Astyanax mexicanus: one gene and its partners. The protein of the gene in region 1 interacts with the protein of each later gene in a pairwise test. Links are inferred from orthologs where the notes say so. Each region holds a gene or a part of one and is shown on either strand. Other genes may lie near its edges.

Evidence for each region.
Region 2: the proteins of stat3 (region 1) and nfkbiz interact in a two-hybrid assay, tested with the Homo sapiens proteins (2 studies listed by BioGRID and IntAct). The link is inferred for Astyanax mexicanus from reciprocal best matches to the Homo sapiens genes STAT3 and NFKBIZ.
Region 3: the proteins of stat3 (region 1) and rpa2 interact in a two-hybrid assay, tested with the Homo sapiens proteins (2 studies listed by BioGRID and IntAct, with this or other methods). The link is inferred for Astyanax mexicanus from reciprocal best matches to the Homo sapiens genes STAT3 and RPA2.

What each region holds. Positions count from the first base shown.
Region 1 is NC_064426.1:26,731,687-26,739,485, forward strand, and holds the start of stat3 (signal transducer and activator of transcription 3), read right to left. Parts: upstream 3,138-7,799; 5' UTR 2,928-3,137; intron 1-2,927. UniProt on the Homo sapiens protein: Signal transducer and transcription activator that mediates cellular responses to interleukins, KITLG/SCF, LEP and other growth factors. Once activated, recruits coactivators, such as NCOA1 or MED1, to the promoter region of the target gene.
Region 2 is NC_064428.1:19,854,517-19,862,558, forward strand, and holds the start of nfkbiz (NF-kappa-B inhibitor zeta), read right to left. Parts: upstream 3,399-8,042; 5' UTR 2,923-3,398; coding exon 2,691-2,922; intron 1,333-2,690; coding exon 1,226-1,332; intron 1,017-1,225; coding exon 983-1,016; intron 891-982; coding exon 793-890; intron 584-792; coding exon 207-583; intron 24-206; coding exon 1-23. UniProt on the Homo sapiens protein: Involved in regulation of NF-kappa-B transcription factor complexes. Inhibits NF-kappa-B activity without affecting its nuclear translocation upon stimulation.
Region 3 is NC_064413.1:34,489,737-34,497,503, forward strand, and holds the start of rpa2 (replication protein A 32 kDa subunit), read left to right. Parts: upstream 1-4,554; 5' UTR 4,555-4,698; coding exon 4,699-4,711; intron 4,712-6,469; coding exon 6,470-6,564; intron 6,565-6,689; coding exon 6,690-6,791; intron 6,792-6,913; coding exon 6,914-7,027; intron 7,028-7,117; coding exon 7,118-7,192; intron 7,193-7,767. Other genes in the region: smpdl3b (acid sphingomyelinase-like phosphodiesterase 3b), read right to left, coding at 1-92, 532-665, 830-1,010, 1,154-1,323, 1,419-1,562, 1,661-1,758, 1,995-2,208, 2,485-2,554. UniProt on the Homo sapiens protein: As part of the heterotrimeric replication protein A complex (RPA/RP-A), binds and stabilizes single-stranded DNA intermediates that form during DNA replication or upon DNA stress.

The DNA of each region.
Region 1 (7,799 bases):
ATTTATTTGGATGTTATTTGGTTATTTTGTTCAGTTTCAATCAAAGTATTCTATTTTGGTGTGTTTCTACAGTGTAGACAATCCATGTAATTTTGTTTCAGGAATATTCAGGAGTATGTACTCTTGCATTTTTCCAGAAGTGTAGAAGCTGAATGTGCTTTATTTTTAAGTTTAATTTATTTTCATTGAGTTGTTCTGTTCATGTACATTTTTTTACATTAACTGTAAAAAACACGCTTAATCCGGAATAATTGCAAATTTTATGTGGTCCACACAAATAAGCAATTCAAGAATACGCATTATTACACACACGATCAGCCATCAATATTATGATAAGAGTTGTTATTATTAAAATAAAAGATAAGTATGTTGCGGAGTAATATATGGAGTGCTTAAGTTACGGTGCATTACCGGCTGATAATGTCGCTTATAAAACGCCTCTCAGCCAATCAAATTGCAGGGTCAGAACTAACTGTGGTATAGGTTAATAAAGGATATTTTAAACAGAAAATAAGGTGGCCAGTAATAATTATCTTTCTAAATATGAATGATTAATTTTAATAATTCCTTCTAATTATGCAGGTTTTGCTACTGTCGGGTGTCTAAGTAAACAAAAAAATATAAATTATTTTAAAAGCCCTATCCGGACGAGTTTAATTTCTCAGGGGGTCCTGGTGTAATTTTCTATTTTATGGGGGGTCCTCTGTGATTTTATTCCCATCTGGAACGACCACGTATGTGTTTTTCTCAGACGTCCTCTGAAAAAATTACATGCAGCATTACCTACTGTTTTTTGCTAAACTTTGCGGTCAACCAGTAATTTTAGTCTGTTCGGATGCACATCTTTGAATTTCATCACCTCAGGTTTAATGAAATAGCTATTTGTCCACTGTCACCTGCCATAATTACATGTTGGTGTGCCCGTTTTCATGGAAATAAGCGTAAACACAAGCAAAAAACACACTGGTCCACCTGTTTTTTCAATTGCAGTCCTGATGCAAGGGTTTTATCACTGAGTATAAGTGTGAAATATTTTTCAGAGACCCCCCCCTGCGAAACTAATCCTGTCCGACCTGGTCGCGAGGTCAAAGTTGAACCGTGTTGAACTTTGACCGCGGAAAGAGTTAAGCACAGTGGAGGCGTGGTTTATGGGCGTGGAAACGCACCGCTCTCTGCACTGCTCCTACAGCTGGAGAAACTAATGAATCCGATGGGGGTCAGCGTACAGCGGCGCGGCTACGGCGTGCAGTGTGAAAGCACCTCCTCTCTCTCTCACTCACACACACACACACACACACACTGTTCACAGCAGGCAGTGTTCAGAAACGAAACGAGAGGATTCCCTCCATCAGTATACTGGAAGCCGTGACGTCACGGTAGACAGGGACAGCCCCAAAGGAGGTGAAAAATAAAGTGATTTCAAACAGATTTTAGTGTCTCATTTTTGTGAATGTGATGTGCTGCTTATACAACGTAAATACAAAAACACAGCATATAAATTCCATCAAATTAAGAAGATGTAGCTCTAGCTACCATTACAGTTCGCTGCCTTCTTTTTTGGACCAGCCTCTGTTGAGTATATATTTGAGTATATTTTTAAGTGTTCATATTGTTTTAGGATAAGGAACGGCTGCTGATCGGTGCCTGGATGGGACATTCCCCCAACCCCCCCCCCCCCCCCCACCCGCTAAATGTAACGGTTTTGAAAAGCGTAGATTGAGCCTGCGGTTATTCTCATGCTCTCTCTTTCTCTCTTACTCTCTCTCTCTTTCCCCCCTATATCACTTGGTTTATCTCGCTTTCTCTCTCTGTACACCTCTTTTTCCCTGTGTCACTTTGTGTGTACCTCTCTCTATATCTCTCTTTCCCTGTATTACTCTCTGTATCTCTCTTTTTCTTTCCCTGTATCACTCTGTTTATCTCTCCCTCTCTCTCTCTCTTTTCCCTGCATCACTCTGTATCTCTCTCTCTCTCTCTCTCTCTCTCTCTCTCTCTCTCTCTCACACAAACACACACACACACACAGAGATATATTGGACATATTTGCACATGGAGTAACACCATAAAGATGCATTTAGGAGTTGAACACTGCTTTAGTATTTTTACCTTAGTTGTCGTCTATTTACAACAAAAAACAAACATTTCACATTAATTATTTTAAAGAATAATAATAGAATGACCAAAACAAACAAACACACACATACACATTTATAATGTGTCATAGACGCATCATAGACGGGATGATGCCTTACTTAGTGGTAAAGGTAAACAAACAAATAAATAAATAATAGATACTAATCCAAATAATGTATAGTATATATATATATATATATATATATACATATATATATATACATATATATATGTATATATATATATACATATATATATGTATATATATATATATATATATGTATATATATATATATACATATATATATATATATATATATACATATATATATATATATATATAGATAGATAGAGAGAGAGAGAGAGAGAGAGAGAGAGAGAGAGAGAGAGAGAGAGAGAGAGAGAATTATTTGGATATATCACATTCATCCAATCAGACATAAATTATATGTATAATGTAAGGGCCAAAGTAATATAGACGACACACACAGCTATGTTTCACGGTATACACACATACACACACACGCGCACACACACACATGCAGGAGCATCGTGTTCTCAGAACTACACAGCCCAACATCAACCAACTTTCAGATCAGTTATTCTGTATCTGTGGGTTTGAGTCTGAGTCCCCCAGCGCACATTAGTCCACTTATTAAAAATAAAACGTGTATCTATCTATCTGTATTTCACTGACAAAGAATAGTCAGCTAAATAAAAATTGAAAAATTCAAACTGGCTCGTTTCTTGGATGCCTTCCTTAGCTAACCTAGGTTAGTTAACTACTGACTTACCCTCTGTATCCGTGCTTCGCAAATTCAGAAAAAAGGGTGGCAAAAGTCTTCGACCCGCCGATGAGTGAATTAGGCAACCAAAACTGCTTCCAAAGCGTGTAAATATCGAATAAAACGCTATACCAGACTCCCTCAACGACCACTCTTATCCTAACTTTATGGAAACAGCCTGAAAAATGTAAGTCCAGAGAGGTCTGGCTTGAAGGAGGGGCGGGGCGGCTGTAACTTCGCAGTGATTGACAGCGCGTATGACGAATCGCGTTGCACATCCAGAATTTTGTCCAATCGTGACGCAGAAACAGCACCATAAAGGCGGGCTCTGCCGCCAGCGGGTTTGTGCGAGCCAGTTGTTTATTGGTCTGGGTTGGTTGACCCACACGACTTCATTTCCTCCCTCCGGGCTGTCGTTGGCGTACGTGTGCAGCGGAGGGGGCAGCGCTCGCGTTCCTGGAACAGCCCGGCTGGAAGTCATCTGAATTACTGGCAGCGGCGACGTCATCACGGCTTCAATACAGCGAAAGCGAGGTGTTGATATTGATAGGGGGATCGTGACGTTTATCCTCCTGATCAATCCCGCTCCAGCACGACTCTACACCACAGAGCCCTTCAGGAATAGTGTAGTAATAAAGCAGAGACGAAACTATACGAGATTTACTGTATAAAACCTCTACTTTTAAAACGCTTCATTACTTTCACTTTTAAACATTTAACCCATTTATGCCCAAATTTTTCCCAGACATGCAAATATGCAAATCATGTGTTATTAGTAACCCTTTGAAATAATCAAGAATTATTTCCTCCAAAAAAATGAGAAAAGTAGATGAAAAAGTGTGTTTTATTACCGGTCACAATTGTGACCGGTGGGATGATATGCGTATTCTCAATGAAAGGTTGCTCAAATAGTTTTTTTGTTGAAATAAGGGCCTTCTGACAGCAATCACTGAAACAGAATACTTGATCAGGAACTTGGGACTTTCCACACCATAGGAACACTAAGACCCGTGGCAAAATATGTTCAAAATATGTTAACCTTGTTTAATTATTTCAAATACAAATTGCAACAGCATCACTTTAGTGTAACATGTATTGAAACATTTATTTGTAAACATTTTAAATTGTACTTTACTGCAAATCTTTTAATGTTGGTGTAATATTTTAGTACAACATTTACAACTAAATGTAAATTACAGTCAAATACTTCATTCAAAACTTCAGGAATGATGTAAACTGTTGTGTATACTATTAGTAAACAGTGTTGGGCACGTTACTTTGAAAAAGTAATTAGTTATAGTTAGTAGTTACTTCTCCGAAAAGGAAACTGATTTACTAACTGAGTTACTCCACTATAAAAGTAACTGGTTACCAGTAAAAGTAACTACTGGGTTACTTTTGTTACTTGCCTCCGTAACCCCCCCCCCCTCCCCCCCCACCTCCCAGCCCCCAAAGACAACAGCAAAGACAACAATCATTGCTTAGGCGGTTATCTCATCCTCCCCTCCCTTGTAACTCACACACACAACACACACACACACACTTGCATATTTGTCTGTATGCGCAAAGTTAAAAAAAAATAGTTAATTGAGCGTCTAAATAACGTGCAGTAACGGGGTGTTGAAAATGATAACAGTAATTAGTTACTGATTACTCCTTACTGAACACCGTTATTCCCTAATTTAACAAAAAATTGATAATAGGCAGGTATACAGTAACGAGGTAGGCACCTGAGCGAAGTGCTTGATTCTGTTCAACAATCAGTCAGACATTGTATTACAGTAACTTAGAAAATAAAGTAACCAGATATGGTAGTCCATATCTGACCCATCACTATCACAATAACTTATAATAGCATCTTTCTCATTTTGAGGTATGATAGCAACGTTGCATGCCTAAAATTAGTCATCCTAAAATAAAAATATATATAGGTAAGATGCAACAAGAAATTTGTTTGTATATTTAGTATGTGTGCATCTAGATACAACATTCTATCCCACCGGTCACAATTGTGACTGTTTACATGTTTACTCATTCTGCAAACACACCAAAGACATTTGACTAATTACGAATGCATATATCATAACTAAACAACTTCGAGAGCATGTGTACAAAAATATTTGTTTCTATGTTTATTTTAACATACTTTACCAGCCTTTTATTTGGGAGCTTTGAGGCAGCCATCCTCTTCTCAAGATGCAACCAGGAAGTAAACAGCTCTGGTCATGTGACAATTTACTCAAAACATTTGATACTGTCCACATTTAATTGAAACATTGTAATATTTCAATATTTCCTTATAGAGTATTGGGAAATTAACCAGTAACATTTTTAGAGGCTAATAATTAAAAAACATTTTTTGGTCACAATTGTGACCGATGGGTTGAAATGGGTTAATACAGGGGATGCAAGGGGACTCCGCCACTCCCCCAGCTTCCCTCCCTCTATGTATTAAACACAAAGCAAAACCACAACATTCCACCCTGTTTTGATTAATATCAATATGGTAAATCACAGTAATTAATATATTATACCGTTTTCTTTTTACATATGGCTCTTGAAAAAAACACTTAAAAATGACGAGTTTCTTTGATTTTACCGAATTAAAAACTTCTGGAATATAATCAAGAGAAAGATGGACAATCACAAGCCATCAAACCAAGCTGATCTGCCTGAATTTCTGCACCAGAAGTCCAGGCATAAAGTTATCCAAAAGCAGTGTGTAAGACTAGTGGAGGAGAACATGCCAAGGTGCATTATGCATTTATGCAAGGTGCATAAAAAGTTATTCCACCAAATATTGATTTCTGAACTCTTAAAACTTTATGAATATGAACTTGTTTTCTTTACGTTATTTAAGGTCTGAAAGCATCTTTTATTCATTTTCTGCAAATAAATGCTCTAAATGACAATACTTTTTATTTGAGAGAAATGTTGTACGTAGTTTATAGAATAAAACAACAATGCTAGTTTTACTCAAACATTTACTTATCGAAAGTTAAATCAGAGAAACTGAAGTGGTCTTGTACGTTCTTCCAGGAATGTATACTTGTGCATCTCAAAAAATTTGAAAATAATTGAAAAGTGAATTTCTGTAAAACTTATATTTTTCAAGTGTTTATTTAATTTGATTATGATTATGGCTCACAGCCTATTAAAACACAATACAATAATCAGTATCTCAGAAAGTTTAAATATCATATAAGTCCAATTGGTACATTTGGCATTGTGGGCAGTGTACCAAGTCCTGCTGGAAAATGAAATCTGTGTCTCCATTAAAAAGTGCTATATGATTTTCCATGAGAACACTGCACTTACTTTGGACTTGATATAACACAGTGGACCAACACCAGCAGATGACATGTCTCTCCAAACCATCACTGACCATCAGTAGAGGAAGAGTGGAGAGACACACAGTCCAAGCTGCTTGAGGTCTGGTGTGAAGTTTCAGCAAACAGTGAACTTTCCACACCTTTTAAAGGGTCTGTGACACATACGTCACCAACTCAAAGAGCACATATTTTGCAAAACAAGACTTTTTGCATTCCTCTGTATTTCCACCTAGGTCTCAACTGCCACTAAAAAAACCCATCCATCCATTTTCTGTGAGTCAGTTAAAAGAGTTTCATATGCTTCTAGGGCCTGTGCATAGAACCACCCTGGCAGCACCTGTCAGCAGAGTGGGGAGATTTTGCACTGGATTTGGGTCAAGGTCATGGTGGTCAAGCACTGAAGTAATGCTGGTTACAATGGTTGATGAGTTTGGCCATGCTGATCATCAGGGTGGAATTGCTGTTTGAACAGTTTTGGTCAGCCAGCGAGGTCTTACTGGTTATGCTCATCAACCAGTTTGGTCATATTGGTCAGCCAGTAGGTGCTGAATGAGTAACATTGCCTATCATAGAAATGTAAATGAAAATGATTTATAGACTAAATATAGAAGAGTAATTTAGGGTTCAGATATATAGATCAGGATCTGTTCACAGTGTACAAAGACCAGAGTCCAGCACAGTTTGGTGACTTCCCATGTCAAACACACTTGATTCAATTGCGCTGTGCTGACATCTGGGCGTCTATGACTGGGACTGATGCCAATCTATAATCCCTGTCCCCCAGTCCCTCAGGAAAAGAACTGCTGACCCCTGCTCTATAGATCAGTCATTTGAATCCACTAGAACCTAGTTCAGTGTGTATAATGTTCCTGATTTTCACACTGTCAGATAAAAAAGGTGCTGTAGTCCTTTTTAAATATTTTTCCTGAATGAGTTTAAAATCTCACTAAATGTGCAACATTTGCAGTGCTTTATAATATTTTACTAATCAAGACAACAAGAAGTCAGGACAGGAAAGTAAAAAAAAAGTAAAAAACTGAACTAAAAAAAAGTAATACTTTTAGTAGACACGATTTTAGGGTCGTTTTTTTTTTTTCGATCACCGATTGTCTTACTGCTGGACTAGACACACATAAATACCAATCTTGGGTGGGGCCAGATGCCACATTAATGCCACATTTATGCCAGATAAACCTGGTACAGATCCCCTTAATTATGACCACCTCTAAGAAAACATTGTGAATCTAAGCTGACTGAAAATAAAAGGAAGATTTCAGAATTTCATTATTGAGTATAATAGGAGCTTCAGCTAAGAGCGCCGCCAATAAATGAACTGAAAATAACATAGACATATATATGTATGCATAGACTCCGCATAGCCTACCTCCTGGCGCTGGCTGCTACGCTATGCGGAATCTATGTATATATATGTCTGTTATTTTTAGTTCAATAATGGTGGTGCTCCGAGCTGAAGCTTGCGTTATGGGATGTAAACAGAGGTTTTTAATAAGCTTCTTGTGCACTTTTTAAGTTATTAATGCCTCGTTTT
Region 2 (8,042 bases), on another chromosome or scaffold:
GGGCTACTGCGATGTGAAGGAACCTGTCAAACATGAACGTTCACCATTAGTTTCCTTATGATCACTTCTTCCTCTTTGTCTAGTTTCTCTTTGAACAGTGAGGTTTCTGTGTATTTTAATTCACAGAATGTAAATGCAAGACTTTGTGGAGCCATTTCCACCATTCTCTACTAAGCTTTTTTTCTGAGAAGTCCTAGAATACTCACGTGTCTCCATCAGCATCCTTGGACATGAGGTCCTGAGGGGTCAAGTTGGCTAGTTTCTCCTCCTCCTGCTGGATCTGCCACTGGAAGAAAGACACTGGAGCGGCTGTGGACACACAGGGCGTGAAGCCTTGCTGTGGGCTCGGGCTTTGGAAAGGGGACATGTATGGGCTTTCTTGAACCTGGGAGAGCTGGCAGCTGGAGTACTGGGGGCTGGGGGTTGTGGTGTAGTAGGTGGGCAGGGGCTCCTGTGGCTCTGGAAGTGGACTGCTCTGTACCTTCACAGAGTCGATAGACAGGCCTCCACTGCTGAAGAGGTCACCAAAACCTGTACAGATGGTTTGTTCTTTTGGGATGATCTCGCTGAGACAACATGAAGACTAGAAAAGAAAAAATGAGAGAACAGACTTATTCAGGGGTTTTTGTAGATACCTTACACACAAAAACACTTTTTTTTTCATAAAAAAAAATCAAGCAATGGTTTATTAGAGTTATTAAAGTCATTATTAGAGTCGTATCTATAATGTCTGAAACAGATGTGTAGTGCAGTGTCTCCTGCATATATGTGTATATAAATATAAATAATTACCAGCACATTGTTTTGTGAAGTAGCAGGCCTTTTAGGGACAGTTTGAGGAAAGTCACTCTCATATTTACGTTTTGCAGACTGCAGCAATTGTGTTATGGCTAAAACAAAAAAAAAAAACACAAGAATAAAAATCATTCACAATATTCATCAAATAGCAGACATTAAATGTAGTTTGTCTTAAAATATTTACCTGGAAATTCTGTTTCGTTGTTAGATTTCTGTGTCTGCAAAGAAAAACAGAGAATATATATCAATAGTTTTCTAGAAATAGAAACACTGATATCTGAAGCTATTTGTGATAACCACCATGCAAATGTATGTATATGTGCATTAGTCAAAAAGGAAGCCACCATTTAAACCAAGTCTCTTTAAGTAAAAGATAAAAATCAGAATACTGTTTTTAATTTACACAAGTGATGAAGTACATGCCTACCTGAATGTCACAGCTCCGTTTCTGCATAATGAGATCCCTGACTGTATTTTTCACTCTTACTCCCTGGTACCGACTTGAATGCTGTAAAACGTCCAGGGGAGAGTCCACTGCAGAGAAAAAAAAACACCACGTCATCTTAAGAAGCTCAAAGATCAAATCTAAACAAATTAAGCTACAAACCACATAATAAACAGAAACAGGAAACATTTATACAGTATAATGACAAAAATCTGTTTCAAAATAAAGCATAAAATATAACATATTTCATTACTCATGTATGTATTTGTTTTAGTTCCTCTTTCTTTCAGGGGAAAGTACTTTGTACAGGCCCTTTGTGTTTTATATACTTTCCCTACACCTTCTTACATTGGAGTTATCTTATTCAGTTGGGTTACTATACCTACTACAAATATTTTCATGTTAACAAATTAATACTACTACTACTACTACAAATAATAATAATAATAATTTGTTGTTATTATTCTATGAACTTATTGTTACACCTTCTTCATTAGTTAAATAATAAATGCTATATATTGCCTCTTTTATTCAAAGATTTACAAAAAGAAACATTTTAAAAACAAAATAGTAATAAATAATACATTAATAAAGTTACAAATGTAATCAGCAACACAATAGAAGTGCGTTAATGATGTATGTTTGAATTAAAATTACATTATATTATATACTTAAATATATTATGAAAGCACATTTCTAATATTTCAGAAAGTAAAATAATAATGTAATAATTTTTATTATATAAAATGTTGCATTGTAACGCCTTATTTCAATCAGTTCGTTAATTATCTAAAAAAAACTGTAGACTGCCACAAAAACAAAGCAACTTTTGCTTTAAAAACCTACAGATAAGCATTTGAATAATAAAATACAAAACAATTCATTTTAAATTTAGCAAAAACAATCATTTTTTTAACCCTCTACAGCATTTGATGAGAAGAAATATTTTAGCTTTTTTAACTTTTTGAGCGCTAGCCATTATTAAAAATTAATAACCACTTTAGTTTTAGTATGATTGTTATGTAGTTAATTTAGCTCAGTTAACTGCATAATATAGCAAATAAAATTAAATTAAACCGTTTTAGAAATAAAATGAAAACAAAATAGATACAATAATATTAATAATAATAATTAAGTTATATAATTATTATTATTATTATTATTATTATTATTATTATTATTATTATTGTAAAAATTATATTATTAAAATAAAAACTGACAGAACAACGTAATAGTTTTGCCTAAAAACACAAAACCACAGAGGGTTAAGTTAACCGCTTAAGTTAAGTATAACAGGTGGTGGTAAACTCCAGCTAGAAACAGCCAGGGTATTAAAGTGTTAACTAGGTTAAATACAAAAACTAATTATTAACAGTTACAGCTATTTATAGTAAATAATTAAATAATTCAGACTTCCGTTAGTAGTGTGTTTTTTGAGGTACGGTACCGGTAACGCTGCCCTGCAGTCCGAGCTCGGTCAGCGGAGGACTCGCCGCGCTGCCCCAGCTCCGCTCCGACTCTCCCGGGGACCAGGGCGACTGCTGCCCGCTGCAGCTGCTCGGCTCCGTGGCGGGAGAAGAGCAGCCGTAAAAGGACCAGAGATGAACCGGACTGGTCATTACATCTGTGTCTCTGTCGAGAACAGCTGAATAGCCCTCGGAGATTCGGTCGATAATCATCTTTTATCGCTTTCAGGACTCTGAACACTAACCCGGACTGAACTACGGGACAAGAGCGAGTCCGAGCATTTATTTAACCGGCAGGTTTAGCCCCGCCCATGATAAATAAATGATGTGACTGTCGACCAATTAGACATTGGTGCTGTCGACCAAAGAACTGTCGACCAATGAGAACACGGCTTTCCTCCGCTAAGCCATTTGGTTCCGCCTACTGCCCTAGCATCCATTCACGTAATGCTGTTCATAAACACTACATAAAAGACTCTAAAAAAGACTTTTAACAGAAAGAGTAAAGTCTGACACCCTCTCAAATCTAAAGACTAGTCACAGACTTGGCTATCACATTTTTTAAAACTGTGTAACAGAGTAAGAAAATCCCTGTGTTTTAAATGAATTTCATAAAATTAGACTCTTTAATGTTCTAAAATGGAGTTTTGGCGGCCCCTACTGGTAAGTGGTGAACTGCAGTTACGCTCTTTGATCCTTCTGAGCCACCATCCCTCAGCAGCAGTCTCTGATTCTCTGTGCTGCGGGTAGGTGCTGAGCTCCGAGTTTTCTTAATAAATAATAATTAAAAACATATTTTAGGTTAAAAATTGTGCTCTAACTGCAACTAGATTCTTTCAGAGATTATTTCCCATCATGCTTCTGGTGGAGTTTACATACAATACATATTACATATTAAGTTACAAATAATGTGTATATTAATACTGTGATTTATCATAGACTCACAACTTGGTCCCCATTAACAGTTTATTTTTCTGTCACACTATTAGTTCTTGATATTTTTTAAGAGAATACATTTTGTGTTCAACTCTGCCTATAAGCTTCTTTCCCCCTTTTTTTGCTATTAACATTGTATAGCAAAGAATCACAATTTCACTGGTATAAACTTGCCATCCTTACACCTAAAGATTTTCAAGTGGTTTCACCGTCGCAGACAAATTTCCAAAGTCGGGTTAAAATCACGAGAGTTATGATATAGTCAAATAGAGTCAAATAGAGGTTGCCTCATCTCGATCGTTTAGTATAAGGTGGTTAAGATTTAAAATTTTAGTCAGTCTTTTTCATGTCCCGGCGTTTAGATAAAATCAACCATGTTTAATATTGAGACCTGGCTCACGCAAATAGTGACGTAAACAATGTCAACAACCAATAGGAGAGCTACGGGAAGCAGCAAGGCAATAATATTTTACACAAGTGTTTCCAAATGATTTGAAAAAGAACACATTTTGCAGTTAATATGCCTTATATAGTTCTTACTTTAATATGTACAGTATTTTAAACACAGGTAGCAATTTAAAGTCATTATATTTAAAGTTAAACAAGGTTGTACAAGGTTGAGGCAAAAAAGGGGGAAAGAAGCTTATAGGCAGAGTTGAATACAAAATGTATTCTATTAAACATGTATCAAGAACTAACATTGTGGCAGAAAAGTAAACTGTTTATGGCGACAAAAGTTGTGAGTCTCTGATAAATCACAGTATTGATACACACATTATTTGTAACTTAATATGTATTGTATTTAAACTCCACCAGAAGCATAATGGAAAATATTTTTAGAAAGAGTCTAGTTGCAGTCTTGCAAAAAGTGATTCCCAGCCTTTGCAAAATCTTAGTCTGTGAGTAAAAAGTCTGTATCTTGTATTTAGATGTGAGAGGGAGTCGGACTTTAGTCTATTTAAAAGTCTTTTCAGAGTCCTTCTAAAGTCTTGTAGTGTATGGACAGCATTAAGAGAACCAACCGATTTGTACGAACAGTCAGTGGTTCAGTGAATCAAACTGTTTGGTTCAGTTCAATTCAGATCACTGATTCAGATTTCATCTATTCCATTGTGCGAATTCGGTTCAGCAAATGACTCGGTAATGAAATGCTGATTCAAGTCCAAGTAGTGCTTAAATAAATGTGAATTAATGTACATTTTACACAGTAGACGTTTAATTGAACACATATGAATCAATTCTGAAATAACCAGACTGAACCGAATCAGAAGAACGACTCAGTCTGAGTATGAGAGAGAGCAATGCTAAGTTAGCTAACCATTAACTATAGCTAAAAGCAGAAGCTAAGTAACCTATTTATTCATGTTGTCTGTTAGCTAAGCTAGCTATAGGTTATATATTTGTTAGCTTAGTTTATTCACAGTTCACTAAGTTACATCACTTATCCACATATTTTATATCCTAGTATAGACTGACAGGCTGTTTTAGTTCTAGTTTTAAAGGTAGTAAGACTATCTACTTTTAAAGTCATTCTATAGTAGCTGATTGTAATTAAAGTACTTCAGCTTTTATGGCTGGGCAAAGTCTAAGCCAGTTAGTGTTTTGTTTTGTTTTGTTTTCCATCCAAACATTTTATATTAAAGCATTTAGATTAAACTCATTCTGTTTTGGCAGTTGGGTTGTAGAATGTCTGTGTGTGTGTGAGTTATATATACAGACTTACCTGAAGCTTCATGCTTGGTCTCTGTGCAGCTTTCCCTCCATATTCAGTCCAGTTTTTAGAAGTGTGAAGTGTGAGAACGACGGAGTTGAACTGAAACCATTATAATAATTTAGTGAGTCAGCTTTTATGGGTCAGCTCTGATTGTCCAGGAACATTCAGTAAGGGAATTCCCAGAACTACAGGGAGAACTCCCAGAGCAATGTTTTCACACACAGTTCACATTGGAGTGTTTTGAAAGTTCCGGAGGCACAGGGTAAAGAAAGTATTTTATCTACTTATCTACAGTGGTATGAAAAAGTTTGGGCACCTCTGATAATTTTCATGATTTTCCTTTATAAATCATTGGTTGTTTGGATCATCAATTTTAGGTAAATATATCACATAGCAGACGAACACAGTGATATTTGAGGAGTGCAATGAAGTTTATAGGATTTACAGACTGTTCAATAATTCTTTAAACAAAAAAAAGTGTATAAATTTGGTGTTTTATTGATTTGAACACTAATTAATGGAGCACAGAATTTGTTTGATAAGCCCTTGACCTACATACACAGATGAATTCAATTATAAGAAAGGGTTTAGGTGAACAATTGCCAGTTTTTCATCTTCTCTGAAAAGTGGCAACATGGGAACCTTAAAACAACTCTCAAATGACCCAAAAACAAAGATTGTTTAACATCATGGTTTAGGAGAAGGATACAAAAATCTAACGCTTTGCTTGATCAGTGTATAATGATATACAGTACAGTAGGTGATCTGTGGTCTGACAATTGCTGTGACTTAAGAAACGTACATCTGATATGTATTCATATTTGTATATTTTCCAGAATAACAATAATTGTGATTAAAAAAGCCACAATGTAAATTATGGAATGTAACATAACAGAACTGGAATGAAACAAACCAGACCCCTGGATGAGGCTAGCTTTAACCTGATGAAACACAATGTACTCACAGTCTTGTCTTTTTGTTCTGTGGTACAATGACAGGGTCTGTCAATAATTTACTATATAAACAGTAAAATAATGAAGGTGAATTCTGTCCAATTTTTTGTAGTCAGGTTCTCATAAACAGTAATGTGTAACTGCTAAGACTGTTTTATGATTCACAGGAAAAACTACAGAATGTTTAAATACAGTTTTTCCTCTCTCACTTTGGAGCATCTGTAACATCAGAATCGAATTTCTCAAAACCAGTTGTTTAAACTGCACATCACCCAGTCACTTGTGCACATCTCAGAAGCCATTTCTCATTTATTTTATAAAAAACAGCAAATTAATGTATATAACTGTCTGCTGTTTCCCAAATCATCAATTGCTTTTGTCATGCAGATCACAATATATTATTATACAGTGAGTATGTACAATGAGGTATTTTAGTATCACAAATCATCTATTTTTCTAACTACATAGCGCCATCTGGTGCAGGGAACGTGTTTCACCTCTCAATACAAAACCCACTGATGTAAAACAGCAACAAATGATAAAGACAGTCTATGGCCTATCACTATTATAAAATCAACAAAAGCCATCAAAGGCCAAAAGATTAGAGCAGGGGTTTCTAGGATCAGAGGTTTAGAGGTGTTAAGCCACACCCCTACCCTAAAAAACACAGACTGTTAATTAATTTGAGAAGAGTTCCTAGGAGGCATCATATCAGAAAAATATAATAATTTAGATACAAATCAGACACACAAACTATTTTGTACAGGGCATAGGTGTGTTCCTTTTTAAACATCAATTCAGCAGATAAAAAGAGAAAACCTTTTTAAATAATTCTATTAAAAATACTTCCTGGAGCTTCGTTATCTGGTCTAAAGGTCTTCACATGAATCTGAATATGGCCCTTTATTCTGGAAAACAAACTGTGTGTGTGTATGGAGGCTGGTGTGTGAGATGGAACTCTGGGCCCCCTATTGATTCCTAAAGGGGAAAATTTGCTTTTTGCAAAGTTTTGCAAGTTTGAAACTCTGTAAAAAGTTCAAAGTTCAAGTATCAATTTTCATGGTTCTAGCTAATAAGTTATTGTAGAGCAGTTTGAAATTTTTGACAAAAGTTTAGGGACACTTTTAAACGGATTCCTATGGGGAAATGTCCCAAGCCTAAAAACGTTCCAAGCCAATTTAATGAGAAAAATAAAAATAAATTATAACTTGTGACATAATGCTCAGTGGTATAATACTTAAAAATATAAAAATACAATAAATACAATACGATACACAAATTAATCAGTGATTCAAAATAGAGGTGTGACATATAGTATTATAGGCAATAATATCACTAAAATCTTTTATTGCAAAAAATACCAGAAAATATTGTGTTATTTTATTTTTATTATTATTTTTATTTTGTTCTATTTGTAGCAAAAGCAGAATTTATATTGTTCTAATTTCCAATTAAATATCTACTAAATACAGATTATATATGTCCAGTATCATTTACAGCTCTAAAAATAAATAAGAGAGCACTTAAAAATGATTAGTTTATTTGATTTTACCAAATTTAAAACCTCTTTAATATAATCAAGAGGAAGATGGAGGATCACAGCCTAAGCATCAAACCAAGCTGAACTGCTTGAATTTTTGCACCAGGAGTGGTATAAAGTTATCCAAAAACAGTGTGTAAGACTGGTGGAGGAGAACATGCAAAGGTGCATGAAAACTGTGATTAAAAAC
Region 3 (7,767 bases), on another chromosome or scaffold:
ACTCCGAAAGCCTCAGTCAAACGATACTCCTTCTCCCAGCGTGCTCGCGCAATGTTTGCATGTGTCAGGTTCAGGTAGTAGGTTATCATGTCCTAAATGATAATGAAGCAGACATTTTATTGTACATATTCAATAAGGAAATGTGACAGGGGGACATAACAGTAGAATATGAGGACTTTATGCTTTATCCTCTACAGTGAGTGTGTGTATTATACGTAGTCATGAAAATCTTTATATATTTAAACATATATTTCATTTTTTAATTTCAGCTATAATAAAAGAATAGTTATATAACTAAATACATACAACAGAAGAAATGTCTTAATACATTTTTGGAATGCATTTCATCAAAACAAAATCTTCTAATAAGTAAAAGATACTTAAATAAAGGTTACACCATATGCCCTAAAAGCTGGTATGATAAATACTGCATGCTCTCTCGAATGCTCAGTGTTTTCTTACATTATATTATTTCCCAAAACATAGTGTGTGAGATGTTTCAAGCTGAATGTTGTGCATTTTTGTTCATACCTTAACCAAAAGTGTTTTTTCATCGTACTCAAACACTCGAATGCCAGGGTTATTTGCTCCATCATCCACTCCAGGCAGTGTTGTTTTCCAAGGTGTAACTCCAGGAGTCAGGAACATGGCACTTATTGGAATTCCTGTGAAATAAATTGCTTTATTTTTTTTTAATAGAAAATCCAGGAATAAAAGTATAGCCCAGGTTCTCATTTTAGTATCACATTTCTGCATTAAAACAGTTTTTTAATTATTTTTACATTTTTTAATTATTGTTTTTTACTAGTCACTATTCATAGTGACACACCTGCTTTATCGTAGAACAGTCGAAAGCTGTCAGTGTGGTGATGACCAAAAAACTGGCCAATAATGATATCATGGTGCTTCTGAATTAGCTCCAAATAGTGTTTATTGAACTGCGGGCGAAACCACGGCTTGTGTCGCTTCTTCTCAAAAAATCCAGGGGGAACATGGCCAACGATGTATACCTAAATAAGAAAAATAAAACAATTATATGACAATAGCAGGAATGCATTTCTAATAATTACATTTCACATAAAAAATTTAAAAATCCATTTAAAAAAATATTCCACTCTTGAATTCCAATTCAACAAAACAAAAGATATGTAACCTTTTCCATGTTCTTTGCTGCTTCAGAAAGCACTTGGTCTGCCCATCTAAACTGGTCTGCTGGATCATTGATATTTTCTGTGATTTTGTTTTGGTCATAATACAGATTAGTGTTGAGAACCAAAACCCTGAGACCAGTCTGATTCAGAAGTTTCTCTGTGTAATATCCACCTGAAAACAGAACATTGAGGATAAAGTATATGTTTGAATGTCAAAAATGTTCTGTATTTGTTGCTGCCTAGTGAGGTGGCTAGGTGCGGTTTTACCTTTTTTAAATGTATCTCTGGATGCAGGATCCAGCCAGCTTTCCCACTGTTTTTGTATTTGTTCATAGATGCTGTTTTGCTCAGGTGGCAGCTGACTCTTTGGATGGTAGTCATGATTGCCCAGAGCTGAGTATACTTTGGTGGCTGTGGAGAAAACATACAAACAACTTAAGTTACCATATCCAAAGTGCTTAGTACCAGATTCAGTACATGTTTTTTCAATGCATTTGTGTGGCACGTACAAGGAAACAGCTCTTTTATGATTTGGGTTAGGTTTCCTATTATTCTCAGCACTGCTTCTTCTCCCAGGTCCTCATTAGGCACATGAGGTGTATCATCTCTGTGGAACATAAATGAAATAGTTCTAAATGCTGGATAAATACAACATTTAATTTTGTTATAAAATTAGATCTAAATAATTCAAATCAAATGGTTTATGTATAAAAGTATAGAATGTTTCCAATTTCTACATTCTTCCTCTTATCTAATGTGCTTGAACATTAGCTAGAGAACAAGAAAACAGGGCACTGTGTAGAATTTTACTTTTAAGATGATACCTGTAAAGACAGTGCTTACCCTGTCCAAATGATGAAGTCTGGATCAGGCAGGATATCCCTCATGGCATGCATTGATGAATTAATGAGATCCCACGGTGAATCACAGAGATAGTCTCCAAATTTCCCTGCATCAGGAGTAGGACGATTCCCACTTGAGTTACAAACTGATGCTGAGTTCCCATTTAAACTGTAGGTCGGGTCCCAGTGGAGGTCTGTGATGTGCCAAAAGCTCCCTAACATAACAAATATAAAGTAAATATTAAATGAAACACAAACACAAAAAGGTTAAATTACATTGTCAGTTGATTCCTTTTGTCTATTTTTTATTTCAGACGTAACCTGGGCATCTGTATGTTTCTTCAAATGGTACAATATTCATTTTGTTCTCTTTTTTACATTTACAAAGCTCCGCTTAGAGCTAAGATCCAGTTACATTTTTGTCCACTGAATATGAACTAGAACTGTCTCAGATAGTATGTGAAAAATTTCAGACAAACATCTTGACTCACCTGTCAGCACTTTGCCTTGCCCAGAGACGGTGAAAACACTGAGAAGGGTTACTTTCCAGATGAAGTCCATGTTGAGACTCGTTTAACTGTAGCTGTAACTGCCGGTCTTGGTATATGGAATAAGTGTTATCCAACTGGAAAGGCATGCAGTTGTCAGCTGATAGTAAAATGAAAGATAAGATAGGCCAACTGGAACCTCAGAACTCACCCATGCCAACATGTGTATCAGGATGATTTTTAACTAGTGAACTATAGATCAGTGTTTATAAACTGGAAAGTTTGATATATGATCTATTTATCACTGGTCAGGAATAACAGTAATTCCATTCATTTAACAGCCTAAACAAAAGTACAATGGGGACTTTGGCCGAGCTCTGGAAGTTGGACGCAATTAGCTGGTATGTGTTTCAGAAGGTTATTTTTGGATAGTGTTTCCGACCCTAATCTGAACACCAGTAGAAGCACTAGATAAAAAAGAATAGCAACTTAATTAAAATAAATGAATAAATTAATTAAGAAATCTAAATAAACTCCCTGTTATATCATAGAATCTGATAAACATCAACTTATGGTCCACAGTTCTATTCTCTGTTCCATGCTGCAGTTTTTAGTAATCTTATCTATATCAATTTTTTAAATATTACTGAAACACCTTAGATTGATAACTGCCATATTACAATTATAATCCTATTTTTACATATGTTTATGACTTTCTTTGTTCTTTGTCTTCATTAGATTACTACAGAACTTTGGGCCATGTTTAAAGCCATAATCAGAATCTTCAATATTACATAAATATTGTTTAATATTGTATAGTTATTGATGGCAAACATTGCTGTGTTAACACGTACCAAAAAAAACATGGTGATATATGTTTGACAGACCCTTTTAAAGCTTCCTTCCTTTAACTCATAAAGTTCTTAAGTGACATACATGTAAGTGTGCTGTATTAGTACTTAAGATAAAACTAAATTAGCTTAATTTTTTGCTTCTACAGCTTGGTTCTATTCTGTTCTATCCATGTTAACAGTTAAAATGCTTTAATGAAATGTTTTACATTTAATAGATCGGTCTATCAGTTTATAGAACAAAATGTTAAAATCAAGTTCTGAAACTGTTGCCCTCTATGGCACAGTGTTGCCCTCAGACAACAAACCCAATTTTGCTTATTACAAAATAATGTAGCCTATTTTTATGTATTTATTTTTAATATAATGTTACGAGGCATATCTATGTCCAATAAAATGAGACATACAAGTGGGTCATGAATAAAAATATGTATGTGCAAGAAATATAAAGTTAAAACAGATAATTGTATTTTATATATCCACAAGGACTTTTAAGCTTTTAAAATTATATATTTAAAAAAAACTGAATGAGCTGCTCACAGAATTTACCTGGAAACAATCAAGAAACTACTTAAAACTATTGAGTTTCTTTGATTTTATCATGTTCAAGAATATAATCAAGTGAAAGATGGGTAATCACAAGCCATCAAACCAAGCTGAACTGCTTGAATTTTTGCACCAGGAGTGGCAATAAAGTTATCCAAAAGCAGCGTGTAAGACTGTTGGAGGAGAACATGCCAAGAACATGTTTTCTTTGCATTATTTGAGGTCTGAAAGCTCTGCATCTTTTTTTTGTTACTTTTTTTTAATACTTGCACATGTCTATTATTTGTTTCATGTAAGTGCTTGTATGCATGCTTGTTCTTATGCACTATACCTTCTGTCTATGGCTGTGTTGTTAAGCGCTTTGAGTTTTCAGGAAAGGCATTATATAAATTAAATATTATTATTATTATTATTATTATTATTATTATTATTATTATTATTATTATTATTATTATTATTATTATTATTATTATTATTTTATTTCTGCCAATAAATGCTCTAAATGATAATATTTTAATTTGGGATAAATATTGTCTGTAGTTTATAGAAAAAAACAACAATGTTTATTTTACTCAAACATATACCTATAAATAGCAAAATCAGAGAAACTGGTATAAAACTGAAGTGGTCTCTTTTGTTGTTGTCACACAGTTGTGTCAATAAAGTTTTTTAAAGGCTGAATTTCGCGGGAATATTTTGTCACGCATGCGCGCGGATAGAGAGTTCTGCGCGCGGAGTCCGACTGAACAACAGGGAGAGATAGAGGAGCTGCTTTCTGACCCAAACCCATAATAAATACACCTCTCCTCACAGCCAGAACATGTGGAACCAAGGTATGCAGCTCTGATAACTTTCTGCTAAGAGCTTGTTTACGCTAGTTAAAATATTTTTGACAGATCTAAGCCTGTTAGCGTAAGAGCTAGCTAGCAAAAGAAGACAAGGCGGGTTTAATAGCTGGGTTTACTAGCAAACAGCATTAACGTAAATATTTTCTTTAAAACATAAGGTACTTAAACACGGCGCTGTTCACGTTTAAGCTGTCAACTTGGTCAACAATATAAAAGACAGCAGTGCCGACAGTAGCTCACTATCTAGTTGACTTAGTTAGCTAACGGTAGCTAACAAAGTTTCCACTGTTACAATATAGCGGAGTTAACGTACCTAGCTAAGCTAGTAAACTAACTAGCCTGCTAAGTTTGTCAGTTGGCACAGACTAAAACTGAAACAAAAGAAAACCTCCTACATATGTGAAATTGATTCCCTTTACTAACTCTGACCCCTTTTTTGTACTTATTTATTAAGGTAGGTTGTAGGTTTTGGCCCTACAACAAGTCTCTAAATATTATTGTTTTCTTGGCTTTAGGGGCTTCCATTCATCAAAAAAAACTTTTACGTACAAATATACACAAAGACACATCATAACTAAATAAGTTACATCTCTGGAAACTTCAGTTTCTGAATCAGTTTCTCTGATTTTGCTATTTATAGGTATATGTTTAAGTTGTGTTATTATTTTTATTTTTTTTACATTCCAGGTTTTACGGACAAAATTTCTTCCAAACTCCAAATACATGTCACTTAGAGCGTGAGAGAAATGAGAGAAAGATGCAGAGCTCTCAAACTTCAAATAATGCAAAGAAAACAAGTTTATATTCATAAAGTTTCAAGAGTTCAGAAATCAATATTTGGTTGAATTATCCTGGTTTTTAAAAACAGTTTTCATGCATCTTGGCATGTTCTCCTCCACCAGTCTTACACACTTTATGCAACTCCTGGTGCAAAACTGGTGCCAAAGCAGGTCATTATTTTTAAGTGGCCTCTTTTTTTCCTTCTAGAGCTGTAACCTGGCAGTCAACGAATAAAATTTAAAATAGTTTGTTTATATCCCCTTCTGTTGCACAGTATCATGTTGCACATCCACTTGCACATGTTGCACTTGCAACTTACTGAGAACTTCTTGTTTTATATTGCAAACCAGCTGTCCAATCTTCCCTCTCTGTAGTCCTCCACTCCATTTACGTGTTGGTTTATTGTTGTTTCTACTTATGTCTTGTTTTTGATTGATTATATATTTAAATGTCTCATTCTCTCTTGTATCTTCATGTTTCATGTGAGCAAGCACTTGTCAAAGCATTTCGCTGTTAGTTGTACCATATATGACTGATTGTAACATAAACTCTGAAATCATTAACTTGACAACAAAGACATATAATTCATTGTTCCCAAAGGAGAATTTTTCCTTGGACAAAAAAAAAACAAATTTGCATTAATTTTAAAATTAAAATATTGTATAAACCCTGGACATTATTTTATACATTCAATCTAACCCAGCACAGACTGTATTACACAAGCCTAGAACTTACTAACAAACATTGTCTTTAAACCAACAAACATTAGCTATATATGCAGTTGTCTTGGCCAAAAAAAAAATTGTACTTAATCAGGTCTGATTGTTTTATTTCTGTATATTGCAAGTAGGATTTAGGGGGTAATACACTATTCCTTTTATTTGGCATTCAGCATGTCATCAGTTTTTTTTTTTTTTAATACTGAAGTGTAGCAATTAATGTTTTTTCTTTCTTCTCTTTCAGGAACTTACGGCGAAGCTAGCATGGGTGGTGGGTACACACAGTCACCAGGGGGCTTTGGCTCACCTGCTGCCTCGCAAGGAGGAGACAAAAAAGGGGTTAGGCTTTACTCTTATATATGCATACAAATGTTGACATTTTTAAATTGTAAATCAGTCATTTTTATGACATAGCTTATGTAGTTGATGTCTCTCTGACACACCTGCCATTATGTTTTATGTAGCGGACACGTGCACAGCAGATAGTTCCCTGCACAGTTTCACAGCTCATGTCTGCGGCCCAAGCAGAGGATGTCTTCAGAGTGGGTGATGTTGAGGTTGCTCAGGTGAGTTTATTATCAGTCAAGAAGTAGTGTTTATCATGTGCTTAGATTTTTACTGTAAAGCTGAAGATATTTTTCTGACTGGAAAATATATTTTTGTAAATATTGTTATTTGTGCTGCCTAGGTCACGATTGTTGGGATCATTCGAAGCACAGACAAATCCATGACTAACATTCAGTACAAAGTAGATGACATGACAGGTTCCCCAATGGATGTGAAGCAATGGGTTGACACAGAGGTTAGAGCAAAGCAGTGTTTTTGGGTTAAAGTCTTTGTATTTATTAAATGTGCTGATTTTAACTGCTAGTGAAACTTTCTAATTTTTTAGGATCCCAGTGTGGATAGCTCAGTCATCCCTCCTAACACATATGTCAAGGTGTCTGGCAACCTGCGGTCCTTTCAGGTCAGTATCACTAAATGCATATATGATCAGTCACTTTTCATATAGACTCTATTATATTATGTTTTTGGAAAATAATTGCAATTTAAAAGCTATGGCGCAGAGGTTATTGGAATGCTTTTGCCGCTCCAGTGCTCACACCTGTCACTGAAACACATTCTCATTAGTCATTAAAGATATTAAATATGCTGCCTAACAGCCCTCATCCATGAATAAACACACTGCTTTCAATAAAATGTTATATTAACTGGACCTATCTAAAAAACCTTCTGCTGGATTTGCATCTGTCTTTACAGTTTGAGTATCGTTATCATAACACATGAGTATGAATTACAGATGAGCACAAAAAAAACTAAAAATAAATAATAATGTAAAAGTTTATGCTACATTCCTTCACCAAGTTAAAAATCATTTTATATTAGAAACTCCAGAAAATCACCATGAATGTACATAAATGTACAATCCGTCTGTACGTTTAAAATTGCATTGCTTTTTTAACTGTATCAGCAGAACAGTTAAATATTGTTCATAAATTTGCACAATGCATAATAGGACATGGCAATATTGTAAAAGCAACA